Linked DNA regions of Daphnia pulex. The protein of the gene in region 1 binds, or shares a complex with, the protein of each later gene. Links are inferred from orthologs where the notes say so. Each region holds a gene or a part of one and is shown in the gene's direction. Other genes may lie near its edges.

The links. The genes of interacting proteins can lie anywhere in the genome.
Region 2: chromatin target of PRMT1 protein-like (region 1) and THO complex subunit 3-like share a complex: the UniProt entries of both Homo sapiens proteins name them as parts of the transcription/export (TREX) complex. The link is inferred for Daphnia pulex from reciprocal best matches to the Homo sapiens genes CHTOP and THOC3.
Region 3: chromatin target of PRMT1 protein-like (region 1) and THO complex subunit 7 homolog share a complex: the UniProt entries of both Homo sapiens proteins name them as parts of the transcription/export (TREX) complex. The link is inferred for Daphnia pulex from reciprocal best matches to the Homo sapiens genes CHTOP and THOC7.
Region 4: chromatin target of PRMT1 protein-like (region 1) and THO complex subunit 1-like share a complex: the UniProt entries of both Homo sapiens proteins name them as parts of the transcription/export (TREX) complex. The link is inferred for Daphnia pulex from reciprocal best matches to the Homo sapiens genes CHTOP and THOC1.

Annotation. Positions count from the first base shown.
Region 1 is NC_060027.1:3,846,794-3,851,618, reverse strand, and holds chromatin target of PRMT1 protein-like, read left to right. Parts: upstream 1-1,855; 5' UTR 1,856-2,011; coding exon 2,012-2,067; intron 2,068-2,235; coding exon 2,236-2,404; intron 2,405-2,466; coding exon 2,467-3,141; 3' UTR 3,142-3,596; downstream 3,597-4,825. Other genes in the region: tRNA selenocysteine 1-associated protein 1-like, read left to right, coding at 218-256, 397-594, 661-811, 879-1,043, 1,106-1,563; protein timeless-like, read right to left, coding at 3,723-4,078, 4,148-4,382, 4,452-4,825. UniProt on the Homo sapiens protein: Plays an important role in the ligand-dependent activation of estrogen receptor target genes. May play a role in the silencing of fetal globin genes.
Region 2 is NC_060028.1:7,656,865-7,661,684, reverse strand, and holds THO complex subunit 3-like, read left to right. Parts: upstream 1-1,869; 5' UTR 1,870-2,323; coding exon 2,324-2,503; intron 2,504-2,570; coding exon 2,571-2,727; intron 2,728-2,787; coding exon 2,788-2,992; intron 2,993-3,058; coding exon 3,059-3,220; intron 3,221-3,296; coding exon 3,297-3,549; 3' UTR 3,550-3,745; downstream 3,746-4,820. UniProt on the Homo sapiens protein: Component of the THO subcomplex of the TREX complex which is thought to couple mRNA transcription, processing and nuclear export, and which specifically associates with spliced mRNA and not with unspliced pre-mRNA.
Region 3 is NC_060023.1:12,053,212-12,057,119, reverse strand, and holds THO complex subunit 7 homolog, read left to right. Parts: upstream 1-1,787; 5' UTR 1,788-1,934; coding exon 1,935-1,944; intron 1,945-2,005; coding exon 2,006-2,126; intron 2,127-2,192; coding exon 2,193-2,619; 3' UTR 2,620-2,833; downstream 2,834-3,908. Other genes in the region: ataxin-7-like protein 1, read right to left, coding at 1-18, 83-187, 275-343, 522-609; transketolase-like, read right to left, coding at 2,854-3,398, 3,458-3,722, 3,788-3,908. UniProt on the Homo sapiens protein: Component of the THO subcomplex of the TREX complex which is thought to couple mRNA transcription, processing and nuclear export, and which specifically associates with spliced mRNA and not with unspliced pre-mRNA.
Region 4 is NC_060026.1:6,262,392-6,267,842, reverse strand, and holds the start of THO complex subunit 1-like, read left to right. Parts: upstream 1-2,076; 5' UTR 2,077-2,192; coding exon 2,193-2,234; intron 2,235-2,314; coding exon 2,315-2,397; intron 2,398-2,458; coding exon 2,459-2,751; intron 2,752-2,953; coding exon 2,954-3,176; intron 3,177-3,235; coding exon 3,236-3,341; intron 3,342-3,407; coding exon 3,408-3,676; intron 3,677-3,739; coding exon 3,740-3,869; intron 3,870-3,932; coding exon 3,933-4,141; intron 4,142-4,196; coding exon 4,197-4,340; intron 4,341-4,414; coding exon 4,415-4,562; intron 4,563-5,108; coding exon 5,109-5,387; intron 5,388-5,451. Other genes in the region: calcium-activated chloride channel regulator 1-like, read right to left, coding at 1-31, 107-241, 322-492. UniProt on the Homo sapiens protein: Component of the THO subcomplex of the TREX complex which is thought to couple mRNA transcription, processing and nuclear export, and which specifically associates with spliced mRNA and not with unspliced pre-mRNA.

The DNA of each region.
Region 1 (4,825 bases):
ATAATATGACGCAAGATAGAAAAAAAACAATTTTTTTTATATGAACAAAGTTCATGAAATAATTATAACTTGGCCTTGGGCATTTTTGCGGCAGTTGGAAACATAATAATTTTTTAAATCTGGCATCACGCATCACAACTGTCATTCGTCGTTCTGCGTGCGATTTTTTCAGTGAATTTTCAATATTTGCTTTTTTTTTTACAATTAACAACTGAAAATGGCTTTAGAAAGGGCAAGCAGTTTATGGATTGGTGGGGTAAGTTTTTCTGGTCCTTTTTGGCCAAAATGTGTATCAAATGTAAACGTGTTCGGTGATCTGTATTCACTTTTTTGCCGGCTCAATGCAAGTCTCGTGTCGAATGGAATCCTCTAATGTGTTTACTGTTTATATTTTAGTTAGAACCTTACATGACAGAGGAATTTCTTATGCGATCTTTTGAATTAATGGGAGAAAAACCTGAAGCCATCAAAGTCATGAGAAATAAGCACACTGGATTACCTGCTGGTTTTGGATTTTGTCAGTTTCGAGATGAAAAGCAAGCAATGGAAGTTCTACACAAATTGAATGGCAAAATCATTCCATACAGTCAGCCGGTAGTGTATTAACTTTTAATTTACCATAATTTATATTAGTTATATTATCTGTTTTCCCACTTTTAGCCAAGCCGTTTCAAGTTAAATCACAGCACAAACACTAAAGGTTCTACAGCCGATCATGCACTGTGGGTGGGAGATTTGAGTGCTGATGTAGATGACTATGGCCTTTACAAATGTTTTTCTGCAAAATATAACTCAGTTCAATTGGCAAAGGGTAATTTGTAAAATTTCTGTAATGATTTTATTGGCAATTATCTGAACTTCTCGTATTTTATGTTTAGTGGTCAGAGGCAGCAATGGAGAAAGTCGCGGCTATGCGTTTGTTAATTTTTCTAATGAAAGTGATTACAAAGATGCGCTGACACATATGCAAGGTCACAGAGGACTCGGCAGCAACCCACTTAGAGTTTCATTGGCTATTCCTCGTAATTACAACATGATACCTGGTAAATGCACGCTTAAACTTTTCTTTGGAGTACATTTCATTTCATACTCTTTTAACTTTTAGGATCCTCATCCAGTACATCTTCTACTTCTACGTTAACTGCATCGATTGCTTCGTCAATTGTCCAGGCCGCAGCCAGCGGCCAGCCAGTTCAACCTCAAGCTGCTGCTGCAGCAGCTGGCTACGGACAGTACGTCGATCCAGCCTATTGGCAACAGTACGGTGGCTGGCAAGGATATGGTTACCAAGGCGGATACGGCTATGATGGTCAACAAGCTTATGCCGGATATGGCGTTGCTGGGCAAATGCCTGCTCAACCTGAAGAAGATGAGTTTGAGCTCATAGAACACAATACACCCGTCGATATTGAGAAACTGAACAGAGAACTTTTTGAGCGCAATCAGGATTTGTGGGATGCACTAGATGAAGCTCGCTGGACAACATTCAATCCAGAGAAAGCCGTTCCGGCAGTTAAAGCTGAGGAAAACGGAAGCAGTACTCCTACAGTAGTGGCCGCCTAATTTCTTTTTATAAAACACTATTGACCATCTCATACGATAAAAAAACAAAGATTCATTTCTGCTTGTCATCTGATTTTGTTTTACAGAATGAATACATTGATTTCAAATAAATACAGATTTCCAATTCTTTCACTTTCTGTATTATCTAGTATATTTAATTATTGACATGATTCTACACCCATAAAACATTTCCTCCACCCACATTTTTTAAAACATGCACTCTTACTCAATCGTAAATCACGACATACTTTCTTTTTTCCGCTAGGTGTCACTTTACTACCCAATAGCAGTCGAAAAAAGTTGAGCGTCATTAGTTCACAGCCGGGCAAACATCAGCAATTGTTTTCATTGACTTCACGAGAAACATTTCTAGATAGCTCGAAATTATCTGTTTTCGGCATTTTCTTGACCGTAATTGAACTTTGGTTCAGCAGTATTCTAGCACAAAATGGCTTCAGGAGGCAGAGTACCAAATAATTCAACTTCCTTATCCTTACATGAAAGGTATAAATCATTAGGCAATTTGGGTTTGTTATGTCGTATATGCGATTGAAATAGTTGTTTGCCGCAATTTTCCCCCTGTTAAACATTGAATTTCCTTGCTTTTATAAAGTATGTGTTGATTTTCTTCTCATTTGCTGATTTTTAACGCATGAAAATTTTTCGTTACAGATTCTCCAAATTACGAAGCTCAGCAGGGGGTCAGAAATTGGCTGGAAAACTGCAAGGGGCTAGAAATAATGCAGCTAATCTTCAAAAGGCATCAAGCAAGAATAGCAGACTAGCTCAACAGATGGAAAGACGAAATGCATCAGTCAGTGCTGCTTTGAAACTGAAAAAGGTGCAATTCCTCGTTTTTAATTCATAACCAGATATACTTACATCATTTATACTGTTATTCAGAAAAGCATCAAACAACGCCTTGGAGCCACAGTAAACACCAGTACTCGATTTCGCGGAACGGCCACCCAAACTCAAAGGAGACTCACAACCAATCGTGGAGCTGGTCGCGGGAGTCAGTCGCGAGGATCTCTGCGAGGAAGTCGAACGCAAGGGCAAACGGTCACCCCAACAAAGATAATTCGAGGCCGGGGCGGACTGAAGCCCATTGTCAGCCAAACAATCGTTCGTGGCGGTGGACAAGGAAACAAGAGAAGCACTCGCGGAAGAATCATTTCTCCATCGAAAAAGCCAGCCCCCGTTGCTGCCACAACCAATCGTTCGCCGACCAAACCTTCGCGTGCTAGAGGCAGCGTGAGAGGAAGACGAGGTGGTCGAGGGCAGATGACATCTTCATTGATTACCGGGCAAGCTGAAAGTCGTATCCAGCGTGGAAGAGGAAGAGGACGAGGCCAACGTGGTGGTAAGGGACCCAGTCGTGGAGGAAGCAGCTTGCCGACATCTCCGCGCGGTCAGACATCCGGACGTGGTCGAGGGCGTGGTCGAGGTGGCTCTACCAAGGTCAGCAAAGAAGATTTGGACAAGCAATTGGATCAGTACATGCAAAAGACTCGTAGCGCTCTAGACAATGATATTGAATCCTACATGTCTAAAATTGGGGACGTTGAAATGAATTAAATATGCAATAATCTTTCTCCAGTCGTTACCTCACCTGTGCTGCTCCCCAACTTCAAACGAAAGAACCTTCTTACTAATAACTCCCCTTCGCCAAGTCTTGATTGACTATTAACAATGTTTTAGTCCTTAAAGTTAAAAGTGAATCCAATTCAGAATTTGTCTTTGAGAAAATGGTTGGACTGTTGTGAAGAGTCTAGACAGAAAAAAGAGATTTTGGACAACCTTGTCTTGATTTCATTCTAGCACTTGATTAAATGGTTCTTGTACTTTCCCCCAGTTTTTGGAGTCCCTTTTTGCCGTGTGTTTCTTGCTTTTCCCTCCTGTTACGGCGCACTTAGCACATGTATCTTTTTATAATTCATTCATATTTCATCCGAGGACTTGAGTGTGAAAAGGTGTGCCTGTGAAACGAGAAAGAGAAACTCATCCCAAAAAATACAAATGATTAACCTCAACACTAATTTGATTTTTGTTCCTTCATTTAATCGTCGCTGATCATAGACAAAATTACAACAAATTACTCTAATGATTGGCCAGCAGTAATCAAGCGGGACCGATCGAAGCTAAATTAAATGGATAAGCTACAATTTTCCTACACAACTCAAGTCGAAATCAACTTGCTGATGGGCAACGGAACCCAACGAAAGAGCAACATTGTACAGAGTGTCTGGTGACCATTCGAGTGGGATCCTTGGATAGGTGCCAGCGTTAGGAAGCGAAGGGAAAAGACCCAGTTGACGCAGAAAAAAGCGAAAGGGTTTCGAACTCAATGCGGAGGCTTCCGCTTCCGTCCAAGGGACTATCGGGCATGGCGTATTCAATTTCAAGCTCAAACAGGTAATTGGATGACGGAATTCGTGGTCGGAGTAAATGCCCAAACGTGCTGCACAGGCCGTCAATAAAGACGACTGAATCCAATCGAGTTGTTTCTGAAATCCTATATTTATCGATACATTAGATATAGCTTAAACAAGATGGGGTGTTATAAAAAAATAATAAGACTTACCATCGCCTTTGAGTAGAATAAGTAGCGACTCAAAATCGGTTCGGAGATTTTCAAACTCGTCATCGTCGTTGTTAAAAGTTTGGCTAGTGAGACTTTCAAATTCCATCGAACGCCAATCGTCTTGATTGGAAAATTCACTAGTCTCTCGGTCAGGTGATGTGTTGCCAATTTTGCCACGGCTCAGATTAAATATGTGTACAGCATATGCAATTAGATCGTGCCAATCGTCAGAAATCTAAATAGCAGCAGCAACCAAACGTTATCCATTAAATGAGTGAAACACGGAATTGTTGACTGAACCTACTTGGAATGCCTCCTGCCAGATTGAGGCAAAATGACGCATAATATTTGGCTGGCAAACGAGAGCGATTTCACTTAGATCGCAACCCACATGATGCAACATGGTGAAAATGCAATCGTTCAAAAATGGCCCGTTCGTCCTGAAGCCTTCGAGAGCCGTTCCGTATCGGGCCATTATTGTTTTTGTGCAGAATTGATTCAAATGCTGATGCAGATTAAAATCCCTGGCTCCCCCTGGCTCCTGGTGAGGGACCCGCTCGAGTATCAGCAACAACAGATGGTTGGCTGTGATGACGTCGCAAAGATAGCGCCGACTCTGAATGTCCGGATTGAATTGTAAAAGTTGGAGCAGAAATAATTGTCGAATGTCCCGGGCCG
Region 2 (4,820 bases), on another chromosome or scaffold:
CCTAGAAGATAAAACGAAAGCTTTCCCAAGCTTTTATTTTCATTACTTTTACTATTTCAAGTAACTTTAAGTTGAATCAAAACCAAGGAAGAAAAAGTAAAAGTAAATTCAAGCTTACTAAAAAAAAGTATGAAGGCTGCTTGGAAAATATCAGTAATTTTGAGCTTAATAAAGCTTGAAAAAAAACATCATCGACGGAATAAAAAAAATCTAGCTACGTTAAGCAAAACAAACCTAACTCTTGGGCTACTATATGAAATATAAGCTAATGTAAGCTAACGTAAGCTTGGGAAACGGGGAAAAAAATAAAAAAGCACTTTTAAGCTATCTGTCGCGTACGGGTAGACCCGTGAAAAAATCAACTGGGGGGGGGGGGAAATTGTATATATCGACTGGAATGGAATCCAATCAAAAAAAAGGAAGAAGAAAAAATAAAGGGACCAATTGGCCAATACAAACGGAACGAAACGACGGCGATGATATTATATAGCTACACGGAATAGGAGAGACTCTTATTCATCTAATAATATCCAGCGAATCTCGAAAAAAAAGGTCTAAAAAAGAAGAAGAATGGAATGCAATTAGCATAGTTCATCAATATGGAACAGGCAACAATAACGCAATCATCGTCGGGCGGAATGCCTATTGTAATAGAAACTCTCCTATATATATTATATACTTAATGTTACAACACACACAGCAGAGCTGCCCTGCTGTATTTATATATATATATATCCGCGTTGTAAATCACCGGGATATATATAACGGGCCAGCGGGTCCAATCTCCATAAAGTGTCGAGGCACACCAGCAACAAAAAAGCGTATCATCGGAATCGTATTACCCTATAGACGTTTTCATTTGAAGGGGAGAAGGAAGAGTTTTAAATAAAATAGAAGGAAAAAAAACCCTTTTTTTTCCTTTATTTCTTATATATTTTTATTTTACTACTCTTTGGGTATAGGCCAACGAGACGAGTCCAGTGACCAGCCAAAAGGTCCAGGGAAAGAGAGAGAAAAAGAATCTTTTTGGGCAAAACGAAACGAGACGTTCGCAGATTTACGACTGCGATATGTTATTACGCACACACGGGACCGATTGGCTATCAAAATAGAAGAAGAAGAAGAAGAAGTTCTTTTGGTGTGTGTAATGATGGAGAGAGCAGCCAAAGAAAAAGGAGGTCCAGTAGGAGCATCAGCAGCAGCCCAGGCCAGGCCAGGCCACAAGGCGCGCTTGGACGCCCAGTCGCTTTTATCGTCAGTTAACGGGCAAGAAATTTGCTTATTTTATGGCCGTCTTCTTTTTCTTTTCTCTCCTAGAAGAAGAAGAAGAGGGGGACTCGTAAATTTCCCTTTTTTTTCTCCTTACTACCCCCGCTCTCTTCTTCCATCGACTATACAGCTGTAAATTCTTGTAAAGTCGATGCTAACTCGTTAGTCGTTAGCGTTATATAGAAGCCGTTCTGGTTGTAGTTGTTGTAGATGTCTTATGTGCTGTGTGCCGGCGCTGTGGGTCCAGCATGCACTGGCAGAGAGAGACTACGACTTTTTGTTGCTTTATATTACCCCGATGCCCAAACACGGATCATTTGATGATTGCGCGCTGTGAAAGAAAGAAAAAAAGAACAAAATATAAGAAAACTGAAATCTATATAGTCGTAGTTTTTGAAGAAACGGGCATAGCTGCTGCTGCTGCTGCCCATCCCAGTTGATTTGGACTCGGTTCTTTTGGCTTTGGCGCATATTATTGCCGTGTAGATATATATATATTTATCGGACGTGTAATAACATTCAAAATGGCGCAAGCTCCACAGCTATAGTTTATATGTGTAGCTGGGACTTGGGAGAGAGAGTATAATATTCATGCAGCTAGATCTCGTCTGATAGAGGCTGGACGCCCTTCGCTTGTTGAGTTCATTGTGTGTGTGTGTGTGTGTACTAGTCACGCTTGATTACGGTGTGTGTCCCGTGTTTGGTAACAAAAGCATTTCCACCTATCCGCCCACCCTACGCCTTTTTTATTTTATTTTTGTTATTTTGGGCCAGCCAGTCGATAAACGTATCGTTTAACGTCCGACTAATCAGAGCCAATTGAGGAGACGACATTACCACCACGCATTCCTTGCCCGACCCCTTTTTTCTTTTATTAGTGAGTTAGGAATTTCAAATTTCGCGCTCCAACTGCCATCTGGCGGATGAAGAAGAGACTTGGCATTGGAAATGGCGGGACGACCGGCTTCGCGTTAGTTCGTCTGCACACACTGTGTTTTGTTGACACGCGAGTAAAGGTATATAAACCGCTTTTTTTTCCCGAAATTATAAGAAGATGGCAGTCGCCGAATTGGAAGAGCTGAAAAATCATTTTAAAACGCACACTCGAACGAGGGAAGTCTCTGCACATTCGGCCAAGGTTCACACGGTTGATTGGAATTGCGATGGAAGACGGTTAGCGTCGGGTTCCTTTGACAAGACGGTGTGCATTTTTACTATGGAAAGCGACAGACTGGTTAGTATTAGTCCCGGCTTATCAATCATGCAGCAATTATAATGGAGCTTGAGGCATTCTGTTTCAGGTTAAGGAGCAAACGTTTGTGGGACACAATGACAGTGTCGATCAGCTATGTTGGCACGAAACCAATCCTGATTTGCTCAGCACCGCCAGTGGAGACAAAACCATGAGAGTTTGGGATGCAAGAGTTAAAAAGAGTGTCGCCACAGTAAACACCAAGGGTACAATTAATTACGAAATTATGCTTAAACATTCAATCCTTCATTAATGTGATTTGACAGGAGAAAATATCAACATCACGTGGTCACCTGATGGAAATTCCATTGCAGTGGGAAATAAGGAAGACCTTGTTACTTTTATTGATGCCAGGAATTTTAAGATTAAAATAGAACATCCGTTCAAGTTTGAAGTCAACGAAATAGAATGGAACAAGGCTAGCAATCTTTTCTTTTTGACTAGTGGGCAAGGCTGCATCCACATATTAGAGTAATGATGAATTTTCTTCCCCCTGCTTTCAATCTAGCATGACGCTATCAATTCTCTTGTATCTAGTTACCCAGAGCTTACGACCGTTCACGTCACACAGGCTCACCCCGCCAACTGCATTTGCATCGAATTCGACCCCACTGGACGGTACTTTGCCACTGGGTCGGCCGACGCCCTAGTCTCTCTGTGGGATGCCGATGAAATTGCTTGTTTGCGCACTTTCTCCAAGTAACATTAATGCCAATAATAACGTGCCGTTTTCTATTGAGGTTATTCAATTACTGACTGGGTGTTTCCCCTTTAGGTTGGATTGGCCAGTTCGGACATTGAGTTTCAGTCACGATGGGTCCATGTTGGCGTCCGGGTCAGAGGACTTGCTGATCGACGTCAGCCACGTAGGTACAGGCGAGCGCGTTATCAGCATTCCAGTTGACACGCCAACCTTCACAGTCGCCTGGCATCCACGCTCTCACCTGCTGGCCTACGCCTGTGACGATAAAGACGACGGAAACAGAGACGCCGGAACTGTGAAGCTCTTTGGTCTCTCTAACGAGTGATGGGCCCATACGAATCAAAACTAGGAGGTCTCGTGTTTTATACAGAATCCAGCTTTTTTTTTTTTATTTTTTCACTTGCAGATTTTCTTGTTTACTCTTGTCAAGAACTATTTGCCAAGCTTACAAACTTCAACTGTGTTGAGAGAGATACAAGTAAAATGGATCTCAGATCAGAGATCTTTTCCAGAAAACTGAATTGTTCCAGGACACATTTTCCCTTTTTTTTAACGTTCAAACATAATTAATTACTCAATAATAATTTTCGTTATTACTAGATCCCATATTTGTTAAAAGGTGATGACCGTTCGGCACAAATTTTTAGTCAATAATGAAAAAAACAGGGCGTTAACGTTTAAAGAAATACGACGCTTTTATGCAAGCAGTCCATCTAGGTAAGACTTATTCCTATCCTTATTCTATTACTAAAGGCAAATTAATTTAAGTTGTCGTGATAATAAGCATATTTCGTAGAAACAGATAGATTGATAGTTTGTGTTACATCATACGTGCCGTTGATTATGTACAAGGCTAAAATGTCGTTTGATATTTCGTAACGGTAGTTGGTAAACACTAAACACACACACCCATATATAGGCAGCAAAGCGGCACATAGACGAATGTATCGTTTTGCTCGAGTAGATTCATGTTCATTGTTCTCCGCAGCTAGAACGTGAAATACTCGGAATGCTTCTCGTGTCATTCCAACATGGAAAGCTGTTATTTATCTGCTTTGCGATTGGTGTAAAACGGATGCGAGAAGTTGAAATTATTCGCATTCTTTAATTTTTTATTTCTTTTTTGAATTTGTGCGTTGCGCAGTTAAAGTTTACTTTTGAAAATTCTGCCACTGTGTAAATTATGGTCTTATCTCGTAATTAGACTCATCAAATTATTCTTAAATTTTCTCGTAATAAGATTCGAAAATCAATTGAACGTTTTAATAGTTTATTCGGTCTTGAACCTCGTATATGTAGACCAAGTTGCTATCTATAACTTTCATTATAAATACCTAGCGATGTTTCATTTCTTGTCCCCTTTCTAGCCCGATAAGAAAACAGAAAACATACGAGGCATTTCTTTAAAAAAATAAATAATAAAATGAAATGTGAACCTATTCCAGAGCTGCCAAGTTAGCCTCTTTGTCGTTTTCCGAGTTGAGAGACCTTTTGAAAGCAAAGCTTTAGGGTCGTCGTCGTAAGAAGAGTCTACATCCGATTTCCGAAGGTATTCAGACGCCGACAAAGGAAGCTCACAACAAGTCAACCTAAAAC
Region 3 (3,908 bases), on another chromosome or scaffold:
CTTGAGCATGTTTCAACTCTGGGGATTCCCAATAAATTGATACATTAAATATGGAATCATGAATGAGGAATACCTTGATTACCTATATGATTTTTCAATCCCTGAGGTGTGCACACCCTTTGACAATAGTTACAGGTTACGAGGTAGAATTCATCTCTGACGGGACAGAGCCCAAAGAATAACATATCTGCAATGATGAGGCACCAGGAGTGTAACACAGTGGGAATATTAGAGACTGACTTAACATATACATCAAGCTCATGAAACCAATCACCTTGCTTCGGCAATTTCATGGCGTCGCCTTCTTTTTTCTGATTGACTTTGGATTGTTCATCTGTGTCACCTGCGTAATGATAAGGCGACAAAGGTAATATCGAGAATAACATTTTATTTTGACAATTTAAACAGCCGTCCATCGAGATAGGCCGAAGCCGTACCGATTCGATAACACCATCAAAACAATTTTCACAAAATATCCGTTAGCTATCAAGAAAAGACAACTTATAAGGCAATTTACTCACTTAATGGACTATCTCTGCCTAATCTATCAGCCCAAACAGACCAAGGCTGGCCATGAAGACTTGTTGGACTGTCATCGTTGGACGCCATCTTTGTTAACAGAAAATTTTTTCTTAATTTCTCCTCTCCGAGACTCCGTCTTCTTTCCTCACCTGCAACAGCGTTGCAACTATAGTGAAAGCAGCTCGGCAGCTACCACTGCCCTTGATGCCTTGCCTCCTCTAATTACTCTATGGCATTAACACCCATTGGACTATTTCAAAATTACCTTTAATATAGTACTTGTATATTTTTCCTAGAATTAAAAAATGCGTTGCGTTTCTTTGCCACTTGAAGACCTTAATGTGTAAGCGTACTAAAGTTGTTGATTCTATTCGTTGGCAATTTATGAAATTTTATGATGATTTAATGATGAAATTATCTTCTAGCGAAACGTTCTAGCAATAATTTAAATCCTCAATCGTCCGTCTATTTTTTTTTTAATTTTGGCAAAAGATTTTATGCATTGCGGAACTCAAAAAGTACATTTTTCTTTGCGCTAAGTATCTTTTTACAATTTTCACACATGGACTGCAACAAGTATGACTATGAGAACAAGCTGCACATAATCATAATGACATCAACTGATAAACACATATGTGAAAATTCCCCATTGAGGTACCAAATCTCTCTCAACTCAGTTATTTTATATTACCAACCAATCAACCATCTGACATCTTGACAAATACAACCATTAATTGACATGCACCTTTTATACTTACAAATAAATGTTGTTTGTAAGTATCTTGCACCCAAAATTATTTTTTCACTGTCAGTTACACACCTGTTTAAAATGAATCTGTCAATCTTGATCACCAATCTCAATTTTCAGGACAATAAAAACAGGTTTTCCTAGAATGTAAGGCAACAGTTTAATTAAAAAGAAGAGATTGACGTTAATCTGGAAACGAGAAAAACAACACTCCAGATCCAGCATTTCATTGGATTCTTTCCTTGACATCACCTGATTGATTCTAAACCGTTCAATGGTTTCCCAAGTATATTGCTGATCTGCTGGACTAGCTCTCTTTCGGTTTTGCTAATGTTTATACAGGCATGCAAGTTTAACCCTAAACAAAATAGATACCTAATCAATCGGATGATTTTTTAAAAAGCCATGTCTCCTTCCTTTCATTTGAGGGGCGTGTCGTCTGCTGGCGGATTTAAAAAACAAAACAAAAGACGAGCGAACTACGCTTACGGCAGACGAAAATATTTTTTCATTTTTCAGTACTTTCCGGCGTTTCCGCAGCGACATTTCTCCTAGGTTTGTCATCTCATTCTTTCGCCCGGTTTGACATCTCAATATTCTCAAAGCTTTACCAGTTAAATTGTATTATTATTGGTCTTATTTTGATCCCAATCATTATTCACAAATGGGAGATGGTAATTTGACTTGTTAGTAATATTATTTCGGTTAATTTTCATCTTGTACTTCGTTATGTAGAAGAGATCATCCGAAGGAGGCTGTTGTTTGATGGCGAAGGAACTGGTGATGAAAGAAGACTTAATGTATTGCTTAAAGGTTTCCTAGCTTGGTGCAACTCTACAGATAGTGTTGAAGAAACGTAAATTAATCTTTGTATAAAATTCTTCTATACTCTATATGTGATGTATTTTTATTTGTTTTACAGACAAGCATCCTACGCTAGAATGATTGGTCAGATTGCCCAATGTGAATTTGCTGCCACAAAATCCTTGAGGTGCTGTGAAATGAACACTGCAGAACAGCAGCACTATGACGACCTCTACAACCAGATTGAAGAAGGAATTGTGTCAGCTAAAAAAGACATTGAAGCAACCAAGAAGGAGTTGCAAGAAGCAAGACAGATTCGCAGGAATAAAATGGAATATGATGCTTTGGCTGCCATTATTCAAACACAGCCTGATCGAAAGAGCAACCAAGAGAAATTATCCCTATTGCGACAGGAACTGGAAGCTTCAGAATGTGAATGTCAAAAACTGGAGGCCAAATTAGAACAAAGACGCAAACAATTTCACTTACTCATTTCAACTATCCAAGGATTACAGCAACTTCTTAACGATGATGAAGCATCCTAATAATTGTTCATTTTGTATGCATCCCTTTTTTCTATTTTTGAATAATAATGCTAACAAATAAAAATCATTTGAAACACCAAAAAAGCTATGTATGAATAAACTATCCAAACGGTACATATACGACTTGGAATGCCATAGAAGAATGTTTCAAAAAACACCACCAATTCTTCTCAACTATCCATAGACCTCTGGTAAGGAATGGGTATAGGAATGAGTGACTTAAAAAAAGGGCGTTTACAACGCAACAAGTTTTTTCGCGGCTTCGGCAATAGCCTTGGCGCCGATTCCAAAATGTTCTAGGAGAACCTCTGGAGGACCGGAGCGGGGAACTTCGCGAACTGCCAAAATCTTGACGATAATATTTCGTTGTTCGGCTAGAGTTGAAGCAACAGCCTCACCCAATCCACCTTCTGGGTAATGGTCTTCAACGGTCAAAACCCGGCCGTTGCAACGAGTGGCTTCCTTCAACAGCAAATCGTGATCAATGGGTTTGATGGTAAATGGATCGATGACAGCAGCCTTGATGCCGGCTTCCATCAGCATGTCGGACGCCTTCAGCGCTTCGTGGAGTGTAACGCCGGCGCCAACGATAACCAAATCGTCTTGATCGTGACTACGAACAACGTGACCCTTTCCAGCAGAGAAAACTTGTTCGTTCTCGTAGATGACGGCTGTGTTGGGGCGAGATGTACGAATGAAGCAAATTCCTTTGGTTTTTCCGGCAAGTTCGGCGGCTCTCTCGCAGCTGACGGCGTCGCTGGGATAAAACACGGTGGAGCCTACAAATAATAATTCGTTTAGTCAAACATTTCCCTAAAAGATGTCACTTTAAACTCACCTGGAATGGATCTGAACATGGCCAAATCCTCAAGTGCCATCTGAGATGGGCCATCTTCTCCGATGGAGACTCCAGCGTGTGATCCGACGCAGGTAATGTTGGTCTGCGAGATGGCACCCATGCGGAGCTGGTCGAAAGCTCGGGTGAAGAAAGCGGCGAAAGTAGAGACATAAGGGATGGTGCGATTACGGCATCCGGCTCCGATGGCTACTCCCACCAAGTTCTGCTCGGCGATGAAACACTCGATGTAACGCTCGGCTGACACCTGATAATAGCGTTAGTTGAGAATTAACAAAACGTTAGAATACAATGACCAATAAAATCAATTACCTTCTTGATTCTGTCAGAGTAGGTGGAATTCTTGGTGTCACCATCCAAAGCAATGACTCGGGAGTTGTGCTCTGCCAACTTGGCCAAAGCAGTTCCGTAGGCGAAGCGAGTCGCGACCATT
Region 4 (5,451 bases), on another chromosome or scaffold:
AGTTCGGAAGGTCGATTTGAATGTCCGCATTCTGGTTTAGTTCATAAAATTTTGCCATTTGCGAATTAATTTCTCCTTTTTATGCGATAAATTTATTCAAGTATACTTGCAAATTTTCCCATGTACTGGCGTTGGCTATGACGTTTTCCCACGTCTGAGGGATCAGAATATTCACTGATTCAATGTAGGATCGATTCCGAGTTGCTTCATACAAATCAGCTGAAGCTTCAGTGATTAACAACTTTAAGAAGAAATAATAAAATTCTTTTGTAACAAGAACAAGGAATAGTAAAAGCTTTGAAAGAAACTCTAAAATGTTACCTTGATGTTATCCAATAAATCATCAGCTTGATCTGAGGGAACATCAGGTGAAATTGCTATGACAATATCCCGATAGCCGTTGTTGGTTATGTTGACTCGGCTGCCGATGGCGCGAAGAGACAGGCAGCTAAAGAGCAGCAACAAGAGAAGACGATGATGACAGACCGCCATGGTGTCGTCGCTTTTGGAACTATAAAGTGGAACTGAAAAGTGAAATTTTCGGACCAGTTTATATACACGCAACCTAAAGGTGAATCACAGAAAAAAGATTGCACAACCGTTTGCGATCAATTGAATAATACCGTTAGATAGCCTTATACGTGACAAATAAATTATCTGCAAGCCGTTCGGCCCCTTTTGCTCCTTTGTCATGGGCCATGGGTATTTTTTTTTTTTTTTTTTTTAGCGATATCTTTTTATTTTTTCCTTTATCCTGGTGAAGTTGAGAAATTTTGATAGCAAACCGGGGAAAAAACCAACTTTTTGTCAATTTTGATACTTCAAAGTACAAGTACATCTTGGCATTTTGCCCTGGAGACAGCGTTGTGACTGTTTTGTTTGCGTACTTTAGCTTGAGATATAGTAATGTTTTGCGAGTTATCCTTTACTCCCATCAATTGTTACTAGCCAATGCAGAGAGTAAATAACCCAAGATAATTACATTAAAGGCTTGACAAAGAGTTATTGTAGCCAGCAAATAAAAAACAAATCGACAAAGTTTTTGGCAATCATCCTTCTTCTATTCGTTCACAGGGACGATTTGAACAGAGAAAACAACTTCTTCTCATTAAAGGCTCTCAAAGCGATCGCCATCTACATGTTTAATTACAATAGAATAAGGCCTAAGGATTCGCGTTTCTTGCTTCAGCTTACGTGCCGCGTCATCTTTCGTTGATGACGTCCTGCAGTCCAAATGACACAGATAAATTGGTTTGAAATAAGTAAAATTTTATATCTTTTATCTGGTGTTTTATAATGCTACTAATAATTTCCTTTTAATTTATTCTTATTTGAGATGATCAAAGGCGAAATAGGATTTTAAAAAGTGCCACAAACGGCGGTTCCCTGCAGTAAAGAATCGATATCTCTAATCCTCTATGCCTTTTCCTGGTGCACTTCAGGAAGTAGACATAAAATCAGAGCTCGTAAGCAAACAGAGGTAGTTCAAATATAGAGACTAGAACAAGGTTATGAAATCTCGGTAGATAGTGCAGTCGATACTGTAGTTGTAATATGGCAGGCAATACCTGCCGATTTTCATAGGAAATCAAATGATAAAAGTAATACGAATGGAAGTTGAAAACATTCGAGTATTTGAATGCGCTTAAATATTGTTTAGTAGTGAAATGAGTAGCATTGGAATGCTATTGAAAATATTGAGTTCAAAAAGGCTACTTATTGTCGATTACATTAAACATGAGAAATGTCTTAAAATTAGGTAGTTTTTATATGGGAATTTTATCTTTATTAAACTCGGTGCAGTCCCGCGTTAGATGATTTTTCAAAAAAGGACTCTCTTTTGTAGAACACCATTTTTATTGATCCGTCGACTCGCCATCTAGGGGATGATAATCGAGTAACATTTTTGTATGAAAACGTCAAAACGGTAATCTCAGTCAAAACATATTCTTTGAACAGATAAATTATTTGATTATCACCGATTACTTATTAGTTAAACTTGAATGGTTTGACATTTACTTCTTTCCAGAATTTCCGCTTTCCGGGATTCGGAAAAAAAAATCAAGTTGATTTTAGAATGGCAACATTGCAATTTACAAACTTGGCAACGCAACCAAGTTTTGAAGCGTCGTCTGATCGTTTCGAAAACACGACTATTTTTATGTTTCTTACTTTGTAAAAAAACCACTGAAATGGAAATATTTGATTTTGAGAAAACTCGGTGTTCGTTTCTGGTACAGTAAAAAAATCTATCAATGAGCCATATTTGAAATAAATTGAAAAATCTTATGTCTTCTGTGTTTGGTTTCTGTAGGATTCCATTTCTGAAGCTCTTAAACTGGGTGGTCCACCCACTATCAGTGAATTACTTTCAGTTAACAATACAGCTCATCTTGGGTAAATTTAATCAAAGCAGAAAGTATTTACATATTATTGTAATTAAACATATTTATTGTAGGGAAGCTGATAAAAAAGCTGTATGGGATCAGGCGTTTAGAGACAGATTTTTGAGTGATTCCTCAAACTTTTCCATACCATTGTTTGAAAAGTTGTTGCAGTTGAGTCTGGATTGTGCAGTAGCTCTAGTATGTTCTCCAACACTGCCTGTGATTTTGCTCACAGATGCTTTTGACATCCTGTCTCTGGAAAAATGTGAGGAAATTTTCTACATGGTTGAAATGAAAGTAGCGATTTGGAAACAAGAGCTTTTCTTCAATCAGTGTAAAAATACCTTACTTCGCCTTTGCAATGGTATGTAAAGACATTTTTCCAAAATTCTAATAATGTATGACACAAATATTTATGTAACTGGATGCATCTAATTCTGTATTGATATGAATTCAATCCATTACTCTTATTTCAATGTATACCACTCTGCTAAATTCATTTACAGTGTTTCGCTTTATGTGAGTTGTGTTGCTGAAATGAATTTTATATGTATATTTTTTTTCAGATCTGCTGAGGCGCTTGTCCCGAAGCCAGAACACGGTTTTCTGTGGTCGAATTCTTCTATTTCTTGCAAAATTTTTCCCATTCTCTGAACGATCCGGACTTAACGTAGTAAGCGAATTTAATTTGGATAATTTGACGACATTTGGAGCTAAAGATGAAAGCTACGCTGCTGATATATCTGCTAATTCTGAAAAGCACAAGGATGCAATGGAAGTAGAAGAAAGGTATATATATTTGATTGACAAGTTATTGCAATATTTTTCTAAATTTTCTTGTTTTGTAGTTTGAGCTCCGACTACAATCTGTACAAAAAATTTTGGTCCCTACAAGATTTCTTTCGAAACCCTAATCAGTGCTATACGAAAATCCCGTGGAAAACGTTTTGTTTGGTAGCTAAAACATCAAGTATTTCAAGTTAAAATTTTCCATCTAACAGAAAAACAATTATTCTTTAGCATACTAGTGATGTTTTGTCTGCATTTTCTACTATCAAACTGGATGAGCGGAGAAACCGCTCTAAATGGGATGAGGCAGATGTGGCATTAAACATCGATATGAATGAAACCAGCATGAATGGTGGAAATGTCCAACAATATTTCGCCAAATATTTGACGAGTCAAAATCTTCTCGAACTTCAGCTCGGTGACTCCAACTTCAGACGTTACATTCTGCTGCAGTTTCTGATTATGTTCCAATATCTGGATTCACCTGTCAAGTTTAAACAGTTAGTTTCAATAAGTTTCATTAGTTAGACTATTTCAACCGCTTGAATTGCTTCTATTTATAGCGAAACTCACAAGCTCAACGAAGAACAAACTACGTGGGTTTCCGAGGCTATCGATCAAGTCTATCGGTTATTGAAAGATACACCTCCAGATGGCGCTTCTTTCGTCCAATCTATTCGACACATACTAAAGGTATACTGAGTTGTATAAAAGTAGTTTTAAAAAATATCATCCATCGGTGTTTGTTGGATGTAGCGGGAAGAATTATGGAGCAACTGGAAGAACGATGGCTGCCCGGAATTCCGGCCCAGCATAACCAGCTCAACCACTGATAATGATACTATAAAAGATGGTACCAATGGAGAAAAAAAGACGATCGTAGTTGGCCGACCAAGACGGCTCAAAAGAAGTCTTGGAGATCAGATTCGAGAAGCTTCAAAAAGAAATAAGTGCATTATTGGAAAGTAGGTAAATTATGAAATTATTTGAAAACATTGAATTACAGCTTTTTCTCTTTAGCGCTGAGATGAATCGTTTGTGGAATCTATGTCCTGATAACATGGCTGCCTGTCGATCTAAAGATCGAGATTTTCTACCTACATTAGAAAACTATTTTGAGGAAGCCATTGAGCAACTGGATCCTTCAGTGGAAAGCCAGTACAAGTAAAAATTTGCACTTTAAAGCTTACATTTTTCCGAAAATGTTTTAACTGAATGAGCGATTTTCGTGTTTCCAGGCGAGTTAGTGAGGCTAATTTTGGGTGGCGTGCTTTGCGGCTTTTGGCTAGACGAAGTTTACATTTCTTCACTCATGGTAATACTCCTATCACTCGGCTGCCAGATTACTTGGAAACGCACGTTCGCAAACTGGCCAAGGACATGCAGGTAGAGTAAAATCAGATGAATATCACGGTTCCCATTCTGCAATACAGGGAAAAGTCAGGGATTTAGGTTCTCATTTGGGAATATATATATATATTTTTTTTTAATATTTTGAGGTATTTTGAATTTTGTTATCGAGACTCATAACTTTTGCACGGGTTTTGCTGTTAAACAAAGATTTTGAAATAGTTGATCCAGAAGAAATACAGACGAGTTTGTTAGGTGTCAGGTAATTTTTCACATTCATTTGTCTGGAAATCCCTGGATAATCTTGATATATTACTGGTTTTGTAGTTGGCTTATTCAAATAATATGATAATAAAAATTATAGGCTAACATTTATAAGTATTGTGGGAGAATGATATTGTATGCTACGTTTACGAAAAGCATTTATCGAAAGGGTTTGAATAGGCAAGCTTAGCTTGCAACTAGCGATTTGATAAATATTGTCCTAATTTTCTAACCGTGCAAAATTTGAAAATTGATCAAACTTTAAAATAATGCGGTCAAAACATTGTTGCGTACATTAATAACAATCTTCTCATTTAGCAGTCAGCAAATGCATTGCCTAATGTAAAACCGGAGCCAGTGGACGACGCTGGTGAGGTAGAACAAATGGAACCGGAAGCAGACCCAGTGTCCAATAACTCGGAAATTGAAGGAGTCCCAGAAGAAACTAATGTAAAACCGGATGAGATGGAAGAAGAAGAAAGCACTGAAAAGAAACCTGTACTTTGCTGCACAATGGATCAACTCACTCGCTTAGCAAAACAAATCGGGACTAATTGGAAACTTCTCGCACCAAAACTTGGTTTTGGACCAGATGAGGTAACTACAAAATTTAAGACGTTCTGTTTTTTTCGAATTTTGAATTTAAGCCCTTTAGTTTAAT